2 linked regions of the Lonchura striata genome follow. The protein of the gene in region 2 binds, or shares a complex with, the protein of the main gene of each other region. Links are inferred from orthologs where the notes say so. Each region holds a gene or a part of one and is shown on either strand. Other genes may lie near its edges.

Evidence for each region.
Region 1: the proteins of RANBP9 (region 2) and GID4 are in contact, whole or in part, in a cryo-EM structure (PDB 7NSC), measured with the Homo sapiens proteins. The link is inferred for Lonchura striata from reciprocal best matches to the Homo sapiens genes RANBP9 and GID4. Residues at the interface, in NP_005484.2 of Homo sapiens: Ser223, Lys224, Gly225, Arg226, Asp227, Gly228, Tyr229, Met230, Gly256, Asp257, Thr274, Phe275, Thr276, Thr277; in NP_076957.3 of Homo sapiens: Leu187, Arg189, Asp194, Glu195, Asn216, Asp218.

What each region holds. Positions count from the first base shown.
Region 1 is NC_134618.1:15,650,379-15,657,791, forward strand, and holds the start of GID4 (glucose-induced degradation protein 4 homolog), read left to right. Parts: upstream 1-4,386; 5' UTR 4,387-4,480; coding exon 4,481-4,693; intron 4,694-5,789; coding exon 5,790-5,849; intron 5,850-6,555; coding exon 6,556-6,663; intron 6,664-7,299; coding exon 7,300-7,401; intron 7,402-7,413. Other genes in the region: ATPAF2 (ATP synthase mitochondrial F1 complex assembly factor 2), read right to left, coding at 612-724, 863-943, 1,786-1,883, 2,304-2,449, 2,781-2,825, 4,004-4,133.
Region 2 is NC_134603.1:89,018,992-89,026,779, reverse strand, and holds the start of RANBP9 (ran-binding protein 9), read left to right. Parts: upstream 1-4,783; coding exon 4,784-5,246; intron 5,247-7,788. UniProt on the Homo sapiens protein: May act as scaffolding protein, and as adapter protein to couple membrane receptors to intracellular signaling pathways. Acts as a mediator of cell spreading and actin cytoskeleton rearrangement.

The sequences.
Region 1 (7,413 bases), on a different chromosome or scaffold from region 2:
CAGACCTGTGGTTAACACCAGGAAAGAACATTGTGCTGGCCCTGCCACCACAGTGGCAAAGGCCGTGCCCTGGACACCATCTCCTTTTATTCTGCCATAACCTTTCCCTGGGCAAAGGGAAGAGACATCCACCCAAGCCTGAGAATTCTGTGTCTTTTGTGGGTTTCACTGCCTGCTGCTCATTCAGGTCTGGAGCGAAGCAAACCTCCCTTCACTTCTTTATCTTTCGGTGTCATTCAGATGATTCAGGCAAGATTAAGTGGGATATAAGGATAAAAACGTGAGGACAGTGCACAGTGTGGGCACTTTGAAGTACTAAGCCTGATTTCTTTTCCTGGTAACAACAGCTAGGGATTAAATCATTAGAAGGTTTGGCATTAAAGAAGTTATTTGTGCTAAGGTGGAGCAAGCAGCTTATGGGACAGCACAGTCAGATCCTGAACACCAGTGGCACTGAAGAGAATCCCTGCCTGTGACAAAAGCAGGTCAGGGCCTGGCCTGCAGATTTAAAACATAAACCTCCACACTTGGAGCAGGAGAAGAACAACATTCCAGTCACTCTCCTGCCCTGAGGAGAGGAACCAACTCCTCACTGGCCCAGCCCCGCTCACCTTGCAGGGCCCACATGTTGTAGGATGCCAGATGGCTGACAAAGGTCTCCTTGGTGCTGGCTGGAATGTTTGGCCCCAGGATGCTGGTCGAGGAGCCAATTGTCACATTGTACCTGGAATGATCACCCAAACCCTTAGTAAAGCCCAGGGGAAAGACCCAGGGCTCATGGAGCTTGTGGCCCTGGGACTTCTGAGCTCCTGGGCTGAGCAGGGCAGGGCCTAAAGCAGTCAGGAACCTTTTGAGCTCTCACCTTTTCTCAGCCCAGGTGATCACAGGATCCCATTCATTCTTCTGTAGTTCTGCCAAGGCTGGAGGCTCCTCCACACGATAGCTGGGACATCACAGAACAAAACCACACTGGATGGTCACTCCCAGGCTAGGACACACCTCTGGAAAGGCCACTGACCCCACCAGACCCACAGCAAGTGGAACAGGGACCTGCCGTCCACCCAGGCAGCAGTGACAGGGAATAATCCCCCAACCCTGCCCTAAATTCAGTGTTTTTTTGTTATTCCAGGAAGGACAATTCTGTCTTACTACAAAACAGAGCGGTGAACCACCCAACTGAAAATTGCAGGCAGCCCCAAGCCAGACTGAAGTTAGAGGGTACAAACCCCACTGCAACTCTCTGTGGGGCCACTCCTGCTTCTCCTTGCCCAGTGGCTCAGCTCAGCATTCCCTGCTCACCCAGTCTGACCAAAGCCACAGGGGCAGGTGGGGGAAGCCTGTTCCTCTCTCCACAGGAACTGTGCAGCTGCCAGTGGAGGAGCCTGGGCATGAACAGGCTTGATGCTACAGCTCATGGGGACTTTAAGGAATGAAGGGCATTTTGGGACTGCTACAAGTAGTCTCAGCTATCTGTACTGGCACAGGAATACCAGGGACTGGCTGACAGAGCCCCACAAGCCTTTCAAAGGTGTTTTCTTTTCTCCAAGATCTTCATTTCCCACTGATCTCACCCTTGCCCAGCAGGGAGGTGTCCAAAACGGAGTTCAACAGAGGACCAAATCCAATTCTCCTTCTTTGGGTGCACAGACTGCAACCAGGTTTGCACATTCAAACCCTCAGGCAAAAACCAGCACAGAGCCATGCCATGACTGGGTGAGTGCAGATGTCTTCCCTCACTTTACCCAACCCTCTTTCCAAAATCCAGCTGGGTCCCCATCTCGTTACCAGACTGTGTCTGTCTCCAGGAACTTCACAGCTGCTCGGATCAGCTGCGTTTTGTTTCGCTGCGTGGGATTGTCCAGCGCCGTGTTGCACAGAGTGGTCTGGGGATAAAAGCAGTTGAAACTGCTGTTATTCCAGGCTTGAAAAAGCAGCAACTTCCATGGTACAATGCCAAGAAGAAGCAGAGGGATCTGTGGCAAATGATCTGAGGGGTGCAGGGTTACAAAATGGCTAATGTAATAAGTGTCTTCTCAAATCTTTCAGAATCCCTGGAAGCAGCTTATTAAGCAGCAGGGAAGAGGGGCCAAGGATTGCTCCAGAGCTCAGTTTCCTCCTGCCCCTAACTATTCCAAATAACACTGTCCAGCCCCTTCTCAAGTTCCCCTAAGTGACACAGATTCCCTCTAGACAGGCACCTGGCCAGCCCAGAGAAAGTCCTTTCTGCTCATTAGGAGCAGGACAACCTGCTGCCTCCACATTCTGCATTTGGAGGTCTCAGCACTCCACCCTGCCATGCTCACCAGGTGCATTGTGTAGAACTTGATGGTGTCTTTCTGGGAATCCCACTCTGTTGCCACTGCAATGGCCAAGGCCTCGCTGGGGACAGTGAAGAGTTTGGCCTGGGGCGTTTTCAGCTTTCGGTGGTCCAGGTTTATTTCAAAGCCTCCTGGGGAATCAGAGTAGAAATCCTGGGGAATCAAAGAGGAGCAGGCACTAAGGAACAACAGACAACCCCACAGGAGGAGCAGATTCAAAGTTATAGAGCTGAGAGGAGCAAGAGACCAGGAACACTCAGGTTTCCCACCATCACTTGGATACACTTGGTCCTGGAAGCTGGTTCCCACCATGCAGCTTTGCTGTAGATGAGGAGGGGGCACAGCAGCTGGTGACAAACCTGCCACTGACACAGCTTGGGCTGCAGGTGCTGATGTGGGGTGGGGTGATGACACCTCTCCTAGGGATCAGCTCCCCCATCCCATCCCATCGGCCATACTCACCTTCCCCCTGCGAGATGCTCACGTTCTGGTAGAACCTCTTCCTCTCTAGGGACAGAAACAGAAGGCAAAGAGAACATTCAGAGGGCAAACAGAGAATGTTCAATGCCTTCCCCTGCTCCCCATCACAGCTCAGAACAGACAGAGCTTTGCTGCTGTCGACGTGGTAACAAAAATCCAGCCCTTCTTCCACAGTTTCCAAGCTGTGAGCTGCAGTGAGCTCCCCTCAGCAGGGAGGCACCAGGAGCAACGAGAACCAGCTCCAATCCTGCCAGGCTGGGGGCTCAGCTGCCTCAGAGTGTGGCAGGGCTGGTTTCCCAAGCAGGCCTGTCCCACCTCTCCTCAGTTCTGCTTCAGGGTCAACCTTTCCAGATTCTACAATTACAGTTACACTGGATAAATTAACCCTCAAAGGACACTGCAGCCCAAACATCTCAGTCCAGCTCAGGAATATACCTGTTCCACCAACAAGATGAGCCTGAGGAAACTTCAGGTCTCATTTTAGGAGCAGCATCCTTTGCTACCAGCACTCCTACCGCCGTGAGAGCAGGATTACACCCATCCCAAAGGCTCACACCCCTCCCACAAGGCAGGAAGAATCCACGAGCCATTCCCCTGACAACAGCAAGCAGGCTGTAAATCCCAAACCCATAAACCTGTCTGGTGAAGGACACAGCAAACAGGCCAGGCCGCGGGTCTGCTATTCCAGGCTAAAACCAGCACATTCCCACTGAGGAAATAGAAGGATTTGCTCAGGCTCGGCGACCTGTGAGCTTTGGGGCCTCAGGCACAGTTCTAAAAACAGATTAAAGTGTGTGTACCCCAGAGGAGCCCCGAGGCTCATCAGTGACTCCCAAAACTTTGTCATGAGTCACCGCGACGCTGCAGCCTCACCTCCGACAAAATGAGATTAATTTTATTGTTTTTAAACCCACGTGATGGGATACGTGAGCCAGAACATACCTGAACCCCCTGGTCTGAGTCCCATTCCCTCAAAATCCCTAAAACCCAACAAAACACAAAAACAAGTGTAACAAACTGGTTCAGCGAGGGCTCGGCCGTGCTGCCAGCGAACCCTGCCCGCTCCAAGGACAGGCTAACACCAGGGAAAGGGCGCCGGGGACAACTCCAGCACCGGGGCCGTGCTAATCCCCGCCCTGCCCTGGGTGACCCCGGCATGAGGGTCCCCGGGGGAGGATCCCCCTCCCCAAACGCGGCTCCCTCACCTGTCGGCGGGGCATAGGCCCGGCGCCCACATGACCCCACCGGGCCGCTCCCAGCATCTGCAGGAGGAGTTCTGGGGAGCCGAGCGGGCTGGGAACGAGCCCACCACAGCCGGCGACAGCCGCGCCACATCGCGCCAGACGACACCACCACGACCACCCCGTCCGCACCGCGCTCAGCGCCGCTCCCTGGGCGCCGCCATCTTGCCGCCGGCCGCAACCAATCCGCGCCGCCTCCATTTAAAAAGAAACTACATTTCCCAGCAGCGCCGGGTGGCACCGCAACCAATCAACGCCCGAGCGTCGTTGCCAGCAGCCAATCAGAGCTAAGGGACGCCCCTCAGGCACGCGCGCCGAGGCGCTGCCAGGAGGCCCCGACCCGGCGGCGGCGGCGGCGTGAGGGAGCGGAGCGGAGCGGGCGGCGTCCCCCCGGCCGCAACCCCGGCCCCGGCCACGCTGGCGCCCGGGGACCCTCCCGAGATGCCGGTTCGGAGCGAGAGGCACCGCAGTGGAGGGGCGGGAGGTTCATCCTCCTCCCCTGCTACCGGAGCGGCCGCCAGCAGCTTAGTACCGCCACCCCCCATCAACACGGCGCAGCCTGGAGTGGCCACTTCGCTTCTTTACAGCGGGGCCAAGTTCCGCGGGCAGCAGCGCAGCAAAGGCAACGCTTACGAGGTGGAGGTCGTCATGCAGGTGAGGGGGAACGGCGTGGCGAGCCTGGTTTTGGCAGGGTGGGAATGGCCACCGCGGCCTGAGGCGAGACGGGGGAACCCCGGCTCGCCTCAGGTCGCGGTGGCCATTCCCACCCTGCCAGCCCCTTGTGACAGCACCCGCATCACCCTACCCCTCTATATTAGAAGGAATTTGTCGCAGAAAATATCACTCTAAACATCAGAATATCCTACTTAATGATGTGGTGGAATCACCATCCCTGGAGGTGTTGGAGGAAAGACTGGACGTGGCACTTAGTGCTGGTGAATCAGTCACGGGATGAGCTCAGCTCTTTTCCGACCTCAGTGGTTCTGTGATGATTCTAAGCTTTTTATGGTCATTTCTCCACGTTTCTGGTGGGATTTGTGCCCTGCTGCACGCTGCCACCTCGCAGGGGCTGGTTGTGGTTTTGTGTTTAAAAACGCTGCTTTTTTTGTCGAAAACGTGGCTGATTTGCATGTGTCAGCTGAAGAGAAGGGGGCTGCCTGCTCTCCCTGTGCTGAGCACGGGGAAACGTTGCTGTCCTTTGATCACAGGTGGAGAAGATCCATCTTCTCACGGGTGGAGGTTTGTACTTCCCTGAATAACTCACTCTAGATCTCAGAGAAAAGAAAAAACCCCTTGGAAAATCCCTGCTTTTAAAGGAGCAGGCAAATCCTTGCCTAATTTCTGCACAGCACAGGCAGAGAGATGCAGCCTGATAACTCAAAATGCAGGTGGCATAAAAGCTTTAAATTTAGGAGAAAGGCTTGTAAAATGCCGGGGGTGTGGGTGATTCTTCCAGGGATGCTTTTTCTTGGAGAATACTGTGAATCAGATCCCTTCCTGCTGGAAAGGGGATTTGCTTCCTGCTGCAGAGTTCTTGGGAGCAGGCCTGGGATGTGGAGGCTGCCAGAGGTGAGCTGGGCACCTGCAAATGATCTTTCCAGGTGGTTCCCATCATGGAAAAGGGCTGTGAATATTGGGCAGTGGGTACCAGCTGGAGCTGAAATTATCTTTGGAAGGGTTAGAAACTGCTTTGGGTCAAGCATGCACCTTCATGCCTATTTTTATGGTTGGACTTTGCACTCTTTTCCAGCATGTGGATATGGAAAACTCCTATCTCTGTGGATACTTGAAGATTAAAGGCCTTACAGAGGTGAGTGTTAACTGCAAAACAGCACAAAAAGGGGCTCTGTGAAGGCTTTTTTTTTTTTTTTTCCTGGTGGAGTGAGAGAAGCTGCTGCCAGAAATAGGAAGCGGAGGGTGTGAGCATGGTGTAGATTTGATCAAAGGGGATCAGCTGGGGAGTGGTGCTGGCTGTAAATGCCACAGGTGATCATCCAGCTGGGAGCTCCATGGAATCATTTACAGTTGGAAAAGCCCTCTGAAATCATTGAGTCCAACCACTGACCCAGGACCCAGCCAGGTCCACCACTTCCCTGGGCAGCCTGTTCCAATGTTTAACCACTCTTTTAAATTGTTTTTAATATCCAATCTAAACCTCCCTTAGTGCAATTTAAGGACATTTCTTCTTGTCCTGTCCCTTGTTCCCTGGGAGCAGAGCATGACCCCCACCTCGCAGCCCCCTCAGCTGCTTATGTTCCAAATCCTTCCCTGCAGCCCAGCTCTGATGTGGCTCCTGGCTTCATAAAATGAAGAGAGAGGCAGAGAAAGGCTGGAATAAGAGCGTGGAAGAGTCAGCTTGGAGAGGTGTGGGGCAGGATGAGGGATGGGAGCAGCAGCCTCAGATGGCCCAATCTCCCTGCGAGATGCTTTTTGCTGAGTGCATGGAGCTTTGTCTGCTCTTGAGTTTGTGCCTGTAGGTGACTATTGTGACCCCACCTTTGTCTCCCCTCTGCCAGGAGTACCCAACCCTCACCACGTTCTTCGAGGGCGAGATAATCAGTAAGAAACACCCGTTCCTAACGCGCAAGTGGGATGCCGACGAAGACGTGGATCGTAAACACTGGGTAAATAAATCTGGGGGCACAGGGTGGCTCTGGGCTGCTGGTCTGGGGGAGAGGGGCAGTGTGTGCCCATGCAAGAGCTGGCAGAAAGGCCTGGAGACCTTTTTGCTGTCTCCTTCCTTTTCCCCTGGGATCTTTATTTATAAAGGTCTCTTCAGCAAACTGTGATCTGTGATGAGGGAAGGGATGTTTTGTTTTCTACTTGTTTGCCTCGGGGTTGGGAGGAAGCAGGAGCAATCCCTGTCTCTTGATCCCCTAAGAGAACACAGTAATTAGTTTTGGAGATTTATTACAAAATGGAATGGAAAAGGGGAAAGGGATCCCACAAGCACAGGCAGAGTAGTTGGTACCTGTGTCCCTGCTCAGGGCAGGGTGTACCTGTTGCTGTGTTGTGAGGCCACAGCAGCCCACCTGATCACCCCCCCGCCCTTGACCTTGGCTGTTGTTTGCCAAGCTTTGATGTTTGTTGTATTTCTGTCAAAATATCCTCCTCTGGAAGTACAGGAGCTTCTTCAGCCAGGCTGGATATTGCTGTGAGTGTCAGTAGATTTCCCTCCTAAACAGCAGCTGGTACTAGAAGTTCTATTCCTGGAATAAACATCCTGAGCTGTTTTTTTGTTGTTGTTTGTTTTGTTTCAGGGAAAGTTCCAAGCTTTTTACCAGTATGCAAAAACATTTAACTCTGATGACTTTGATTATGAAGATCTAAAAAATGGGGACTATGTCTTCATGAGATGGAAGGTAAACCCTGCC
Region 2 (7,788 bases):
TAAAGAGATCTATCCTTCATACTGTTGAAATGTCATCGCCTACTTCTTAGTGGTTTTCTTCTATTGCTAGGACCAGTAAATCAGCTCAGTAGGCACAATAATAAATAGCACACTGCTGATTTCCAAGCAGCTTCTAGAAGGAATATTAATTCCAAAACAGTTACAAAGAAACTATGCAGTGGAAAATCTTAACTGGGAGGAATACTAAACAAAGAACAGCAAACAAGTTACCATCACTACAAACAGGAGATATTAAATTTCAGAGAAGTGGCTGGAAATGTGTCAGGCTGGCAGCCACAGCACAAGTACTAAATTCATGTGCAGCTAGGAGGCTTGGTCCTACTGCAGGGACAAAGGACACATACAGAAATAGACTCCCAAGGAGAATCCTGCCTCTGTTTCTTGATGACAGCCAGAATGCTATCGGCATCACTGGCACAGATGGCCGTAGCCCACTTACTCACTCTTAATGAAAACACAGAGAGCAGCTAACACAGGATCCAGGAGCTAAATTAACCTCTGCAACATCAGGCTGTGCACAAAGCTCTGTTGTGAGAATATGTGTTTGTGCCATCAGGACAGTTTTATTCTTACTGGTGCTGCCTGAAGGGTGTCAGCCAGAGTTGCTCTTCCCTCTCCTCTGGCTCTGGATTCCCTGAGGAGAGCAATGGGTGTACTGACAGCTGATGCCCACGAAGCACATCTATCTGGAGGATATGACTCCTGGACTGAGGGACTGATCACCTGCACTCACTTTAAAACACATGTTCCACACGTTGACTCCCTGCTGATAGGCTCAACGAGAGGCCAAACAAATACCCTCAGTGCCTGGAATGCTTGGATCGCATTTTCTTTGGTAGAAATTTTCTTTGGTCCCTTAAAGTAAACATAAATGGAAACCAAGCATATAGAAGAGAATGTTTGCATTTGAATGTCAAAATTAGGCCTAAGAAAACGGGGGCATGGCTTTCTGCAAAGCTAAATAATCTTTAGCTGATCCATCTACTGAAATTCTTTGAAAGCATCAAAAAAAGAAACTACCCCCAAAAAACAAAGCGATTTTGGTGGACTAGTCAATGTTTTACAGTGTTTCAAAAGGCCTTTGATTAAATCTCTAAGCAAGAGGACTCAAGCAGCTAAATAATCACTGGGCAAAAAGAAAAGTACAATCATGGTTCAAAAACTGGAGATGGCAAACAAAGAGCAGAATTGAACTGCAAGTTTCTATGATGGTGGAAGGTTAATGCCAGCCAGCTTCGGGGCTCTGCGGCATGTCTCATATTGCTGCTGTATTTACCACTGATCTAGAAAGAGGGCTGTATTGTGAGATGGCAACATTTGCAGCTGTCATAATTATTTCAGCTAAGCAAGACAAGAGGGGACTGTGATGATGAGGAAGTGCTAACGAAACAGAATGCACCATGTAATGGCAAATTAAATTCAATACTGAAAATGCAAAACAACGCACATTAGGGAGGGACGTGAGTTCCACTTCGAAATCTGACAAGCTTCCATTCATTTATACTAAACTGGAAAGTAAACTGGGCATTATGTAAATATCTATCTGCTATTTCTAATCCTCACAAAGTTGTAGTCAGAAAAGTTAGCAGAACACAGGAGGAATAAATAACATACTGGTTAATGCCAATTATTAGAATTCTCTATAAAACCTCTGGCATAGTGTGCAGTCAGAAAAAGTGATGTGAATGTGTTTGTCTATGGGCATAGTTTGGAGAACAAACTTTTATAAAAAACAGTGTTCTGCTACACTTGGATTATTTATCCTTGGAAGATGGCAAAAGATGTGATAAGAGCAACCAGAGTAGCAAAGTAGCAAATAATGTCAAGAAGTAAGTGCAGAAACATCTTTCTCCTGTCTTACTGTTCAAGAAACAGAAACCTCATGGTGGCAATCTCAAATGGTGACATGAAGCATTTTGGCACAAATGCTAGAAGTGAGACACACTGAGGAAATCGATATGGCAGAAATTTTATTGATAATCACAAAAGACTTAAGACACATCTACACTTATGAACATAACAAATGTATCTCCCAATGTCTATAGTTGGCCAAATACTTACATTTTTAATGAAAATGTAAACAACCAAGCTTCATGGTTTACAACAACATCTAGATATTAGAAAGCAAATTTATATATAGTGGGAGCCTACAGTGCCAGGGTAACTGACCCTCGGGCATGGTCCAGCTTATGTTTCAACATCTATCCTAGGCACTTCTACACTTGTACAGTTTGCAGCTCCTCCTGATAGGGTATTTTTAGATAACTGCATTTTGTCCAGCCATAAATGCTATTAGACATCACCAAGCAGTTGCATGTGACAGGATATTTTGGTAACTATAGGTGAGAAATGTTTAGCTTCATACAAGCCTTTGTTAGTGTCACACCTCCATTACCTCACATGCCATTTCACACAGATGAAGCATAATTAACCTCCTCTGTTTCCTGCTTCTGTGCCTATACTCCAATATGCTGGCAACTGGAAAAGGGTTTGTGAAGTGATCAATATTTCAGGTTCATAGAATCACAAAATTGTTAGGGTTGGAAGAGATCATCCGGTCCAACTTTGTTGCCAAGGCAGGGTCACCTAGAGCAGGTGACACAGGAACACATCCAGGTGTGTTTGGAATGTCTCCAGAGAGGGAGACTCCACAGCTTCCCCAGGCAGTCTGTTCAGTGCTCTGCCATCCTCAGTTTAAACTTCTTCCTCATGTTCAGGTGAAACTTCTGTTTTAATTTACAGCCACTGCTCCTCATCCTGTTGCTGTGCACCATTGAAAAGAATCTGGCACCATGTTCTTGACACCCACCTTTGAGATATTTATATGCATTAATGAGATGCCTTCTCAGTCTTCTATTCTCCAGGCTAAACAGGCCCAGCTCCCTCAGCTTCTCTTCATAAGAGAGATGTTGTTCCACACCCCTCATCATCTTTGTGGTCTCTGCTGAACCCTCTCCAGAAGATCCTTGTTTTGCTTCTACTGAGGAGCCCAGAACTGGACACAGGTTCTAGACTTGCCAGTGACATTACTTTCCTTTTCTAATGTTTTCCAAGGTAAGCTTGCCAATCTGTAAACCACTTCTCTCTCACTGCTGCCATGTGAATATATTAGTGTGGGCAACCACTGAATAACCAACAACACTAAGCACAAACAAAACCATCCAGCAACATACAAACCAAAGGGAAACAGGCCCCAAACAAAACCCCCTAGAAACACTGCGCTGCTCCTCCTGTCCCCCTGAGCTGAGGCATTCCCAAACTTTCTCACCTCTGGGAAATGCTCTTAGTGGCGTTTCCCCATACCAACTGTAGTGCTGAACACAAGGTGTGGGCAGCAGACCCGCGTTGTGCCTGTCAGGAGACGCAGCCTCCCCGGCGGCACACACCGGCCTGTCTCCAGCTGTTCCCCAGCCGCCATCCCTAGTCAACCCCAATGGAGGCAGAGCAATGCCTCCTTCTCCTTCTTCTCCAGCTCAATGTCATGACCCACAACAGAAGGCAGCATAACTGTATAATTTCACCAGGAGGGGACAATCCCCGTTGGACTCACTCCAGTTACTCAATCCTTTTGCATCGGTCATTAATGCACTGAGGGTTAATGCCTCTCTCCCCATTACCCCTCTGAGCGTCAGCTTGACTTTGTCCCAGAGAAAACCTTTCAACACGTCCGCGTTACACCAGAAATCTTTTCAACAGGTCTGATGTGCCCAGGTCAACACCGAGAGGAGAATTATCATTACAGTCTCACGACTGTAATGCCAGTGACAGGACTCGAGGAAACAGCGTGAAGCTGTGTCAGGGGAGGTTTAGGGTAGAGATCAGGAAAACATTCTTCACCCAGAGGGAGGTTGAGCCCTGGAACAGGCTCCCCACGGATGAGGTCACAGCACCAAGCCTAGCAGAGTTCAGGACACATTTGGACAAAGCTCTCCAGTGGTATATTCTGATTCCATGATCATTTCATAACTAGGGGACAGGCACCACTGGGCTGGCCTTCGGCAGCAACACCAGTAATCCCCTGAGGGTCAGTGTCCCTTTTCCCACTACCCTCGGGGGGTCGCTCAGACTTCCACCTTCCCGGACCCGTGGCGAGAGCAAAGCTCGCCACGGGTCCGGGTCACGCCAGGGAGCCCCCAACAGCTCCGGACGCGCGGGTGCCTGCAGCAGCAGACCCAAGGGGCCCGGCCGTGCCCCCGGTCGGTGCCCGCAGTCCCACCCCCGGCCATCGCCCCGTCGCTCTCCCGCCCCGCCCTCCGCGCCTCGCGCCCGCCGAGGGGCGGAGGCCCCGCCCCGCCGCGAGCGAGCGGAGGGCGCGGGGCGGGGCCGCGGCTCAGCAGACGCGGGGGCGCGCGGCGGCGGGAGCGCGCTGGCGGCCGGACGGAGCGTGTGCGCGCCGGGCGCGCCCCCGACCGGAGGAGGGGCCGGGGGCCGAGCCAGCCCCGCCGCCGCGGCGCCCGCTCCCCGCCCGCCTCCCGCTTCCGCCCGGCGCCGCCGCCGCCGCTCCGCCCGCCTCGCCCCCGGCCCCGCCGCGCCCCGCGACGCCCCTCGCTCCCATCGGGCGCCTCCGCCGGCCGCCGTCACCGCCAATCCTCCCCCACCCCGCGCCCCCGTGTTCTTCTGAGACGCTCCGGTTGTGGGGGTGACCCGCGCTCCGCACGGCCCCGGGCCTGCCCGTCGCTCCGCCCCCGGGCCCGTCCGGTGACAGTCGCGACCGCCGCGGGAGGTGGCGGTGGAGGAGCAGGAGGAGGAGGCCGGAGCCGGGATGTCCGGGCAACAGCAGCAGCAACAACAGCCGTCGTCGCCGCAGCTTTCCTTGGCGGCCGCCGTTCCCCCGCCGGCGCCGGGGATCCCCTCCGCCGCCGCAAGCCCCGGCCCCGCTCCGGCCGCCGCGCTCCTGCTCCACCCGCCGCCGCCGCCTCCGGCCACCGCGGCGCCGCCGCCGCCCGCCGCCGCCACGGCCGGCAGCGGCGGGCCCGCGGCCGCGGGGGGCGGCGGGGCCGGCGCCGCGCTGGGCCTGCCGGCGGGGAGCGGCACCGGCGCCCCGGCGCCCTTCCCGCACGGAGACCCGGCCCTGAACGAGCAGGAGAAGGAGCTGAAGCGGCGGCTGAAGAGGCTGTACCCGGCCGTGGACGAGCAGGAGACGCCGCTGCCCCGCTCCTGGAGCCCGAAGGACAAATTCAGTTACATCGGCCTCTCGCAGAACAACCTGCGGGTGCACTACAAAGGTGAGGAGGGGCGGCCCGGGCCGCCGCGACACCCCCTGTCCCCCCCGGGGCCGGGGGCTGCCCGACCCCTCCGTCGAGCGGTGGCCACAGGAGTAACAATAACAGGAAATAACACACGCTCCTCTCCCTCCTTCTTCCCTGTTTTCCGATCGCCTAAATTCCCCCCCGCAGCGTGGAGATAAGGGGCTTGTTTTCCCTTATTTCAGGTTTATTTTTCTCTCTTTTCCCCTCCCCCCCGCCCCCCCCCCCTTCTTTCTGTCGCCGTGCGGGGAAAGGGGGGGACACAAGGGGCCGCCCCCGCCTCCTTGTGCTTCTGGAGTGGGCATTATGTAAACTCCGAGACTTCCTCCGTGGATTCAGGTATCGCCGGAACGTTTGGGTCGGAGGCAGGAGAATAAAGGACGCTCGGCATGACGTGTCCTGTTTATGGTAATGAGCGAGAAAAAGAAGTAGCTGCTTTTTTTTTTCACCTCTCGAGAAGAGCAAGGGTTAAATGCAGTTAAGAGCAGCAAACGTTAAGCTATTGAACACGGAAATGACGGGAGGGGAAAGCACTGAGAAAAACACGGTTTATTTTTAATCTGTAAAAAAAAAATTACTTTAAAGTCACTGGTAATAGTCTTGCCTAACTATTGCACAGAGTGATCTGAGGGAAGGAACGACAATAGGACTTATATTAATGAAGGTGACTGAAACTTTCTTCCTAGACGTTTCACAGTTAAAGTTACAAATTTTCAAATAAAATGTAAAAACCAGTATGCTTTTGTATTAAAAAATAACATCAGCGAGAATCATTAGAAGAAAAACTTGTGTTGATTGTTATGAAATGTCATAAAACCTGGAAACATAAGCCTACACTCTGACCTGAAAAAACACAGTCACATCTGGTGTTCTAGGCCTAAAGTCCTGAAGTAGAAGTGTTGTGGATTCAAAGCCACTTTTGAGTTGGCTGTGAAGAACTGGATCTTTTGTCAGTCTGTAGTCAAATGAACGTAGTGGGAGGGGAAAAAAACAGCCATGCAATTACTCTTTCTCAGAGTTTGCAGTGGAGAAATTCAAGGGAAATCTTGATAAATATGTTACTGTTTAATCGGAGGAGGAAAACGGCAACACAAACACATGGCAGGATTTGGCTGCCATGAAAGGATTAAATGTACTCTCAGACTTTTTTTTAATAGAGAGGTTTTATTATTACACGCAAAATACTCTGTTAAAAATGCTAAGTTTAATGCACCGTACAAAGGTAATAAAGGAGCTGGATGACTACAAAGCAGGTTTCTAGGAGGCACCGAGTGATTTAAGGATGTGTAATTTAATACTCTGAATTTCCTGGCTTTTGTTCAGTGTTTTATGACCTTGTATTTTTAGAAACATTTTGTATTTTCTGGTGCTTAGTGGCAGTGGGTTGTTTGGTTTTGGTGTTTTTTTCTTCTAAGATGATCATAGCTTAGTGGCTATCAACTTCTGCTGGTTTGTTTTGCTTTGGTCAATTTTTTTTCTCATCAGCTAGAATTTAGAGGTCAAACCTCTCTGATCTCTGTGTTATTTCAGAAGTATATTTTCAAGCTTTCCTTGTGCTGTCCCTGTTTTTCCTCACTTAACTCCTTTGCCATGGTGTTAAGGGAAATCATTACCTCAAAGAAGTTACGGAAGTCATGAAACACAGTTAGTAGGTTGTAACAATGAAGTACCTTTACTCTAGCTCTTAAGTTATAGTAAGTGCTGAAGTTTGAAGAGTTTCCTAGGTTAGCTGAAAGGACTCTGAAAAGGAGGTGCCAATATAGCATGTCTGTACTTTTCTTTTTCCTAAGTGCATATGGAAGTAAATGACTTCTTAAGTGGCCCATCTTTTCTACTGGATAATTTAATGAAGGTGGCTGTTAGGGCAACTCCATGTTTATGTTACCAGCTTGGCGCTTGGAACTGCTAACTGGGCTAAGAAGTGAATGGTATCTGAGTATTTCTACCTGAGAACCAGGGGGCAAACATGCTAAACATCTCCTGCCTTTTCTCCCTCCTGGATCCTTCAGCCCTAAGAATACAATAAAAGGGGAGAAAATGAGGAGATTCAGTGAAGAGAGTAAGGGAAGATGGCAAGTAAGAATGTGCTTAGGACTGTGAAATAGTGTTTCTACAAATTTGTTTTCAAAAGAAAGTGCTCATTGCATCTTCTTTTGTAATTCTGGTGCTTTCAGTGCTTCTGAAATTACCTAAGTATTAGTGGAAGAACATCGGATGTTTTTTTTGAAAGAAAATATGAATTGACCAGAGCTAAAGAACTGTTGTATTCTTGATGAAAATATTCAAGGAAAAGCCAGTAACCTAAAGCAATTCTTACTATTTTCTACTACTGTAGTATAGGTGCCCTGTACGCTTAAATTTTCTCTTCTGCCTCTGTAGATTTCTAGCTATAGATCTGTTTTTCTGGAGCACTTTCCTTCTGTTCTGTGACTGATTAGAGGCAGAAAGTGTTAACAGTAGTGCTTTGCCTTCACCTTGGGTGTGCTTGGGCTACTGAAAAAATTAGTGGAGAGGAACAATC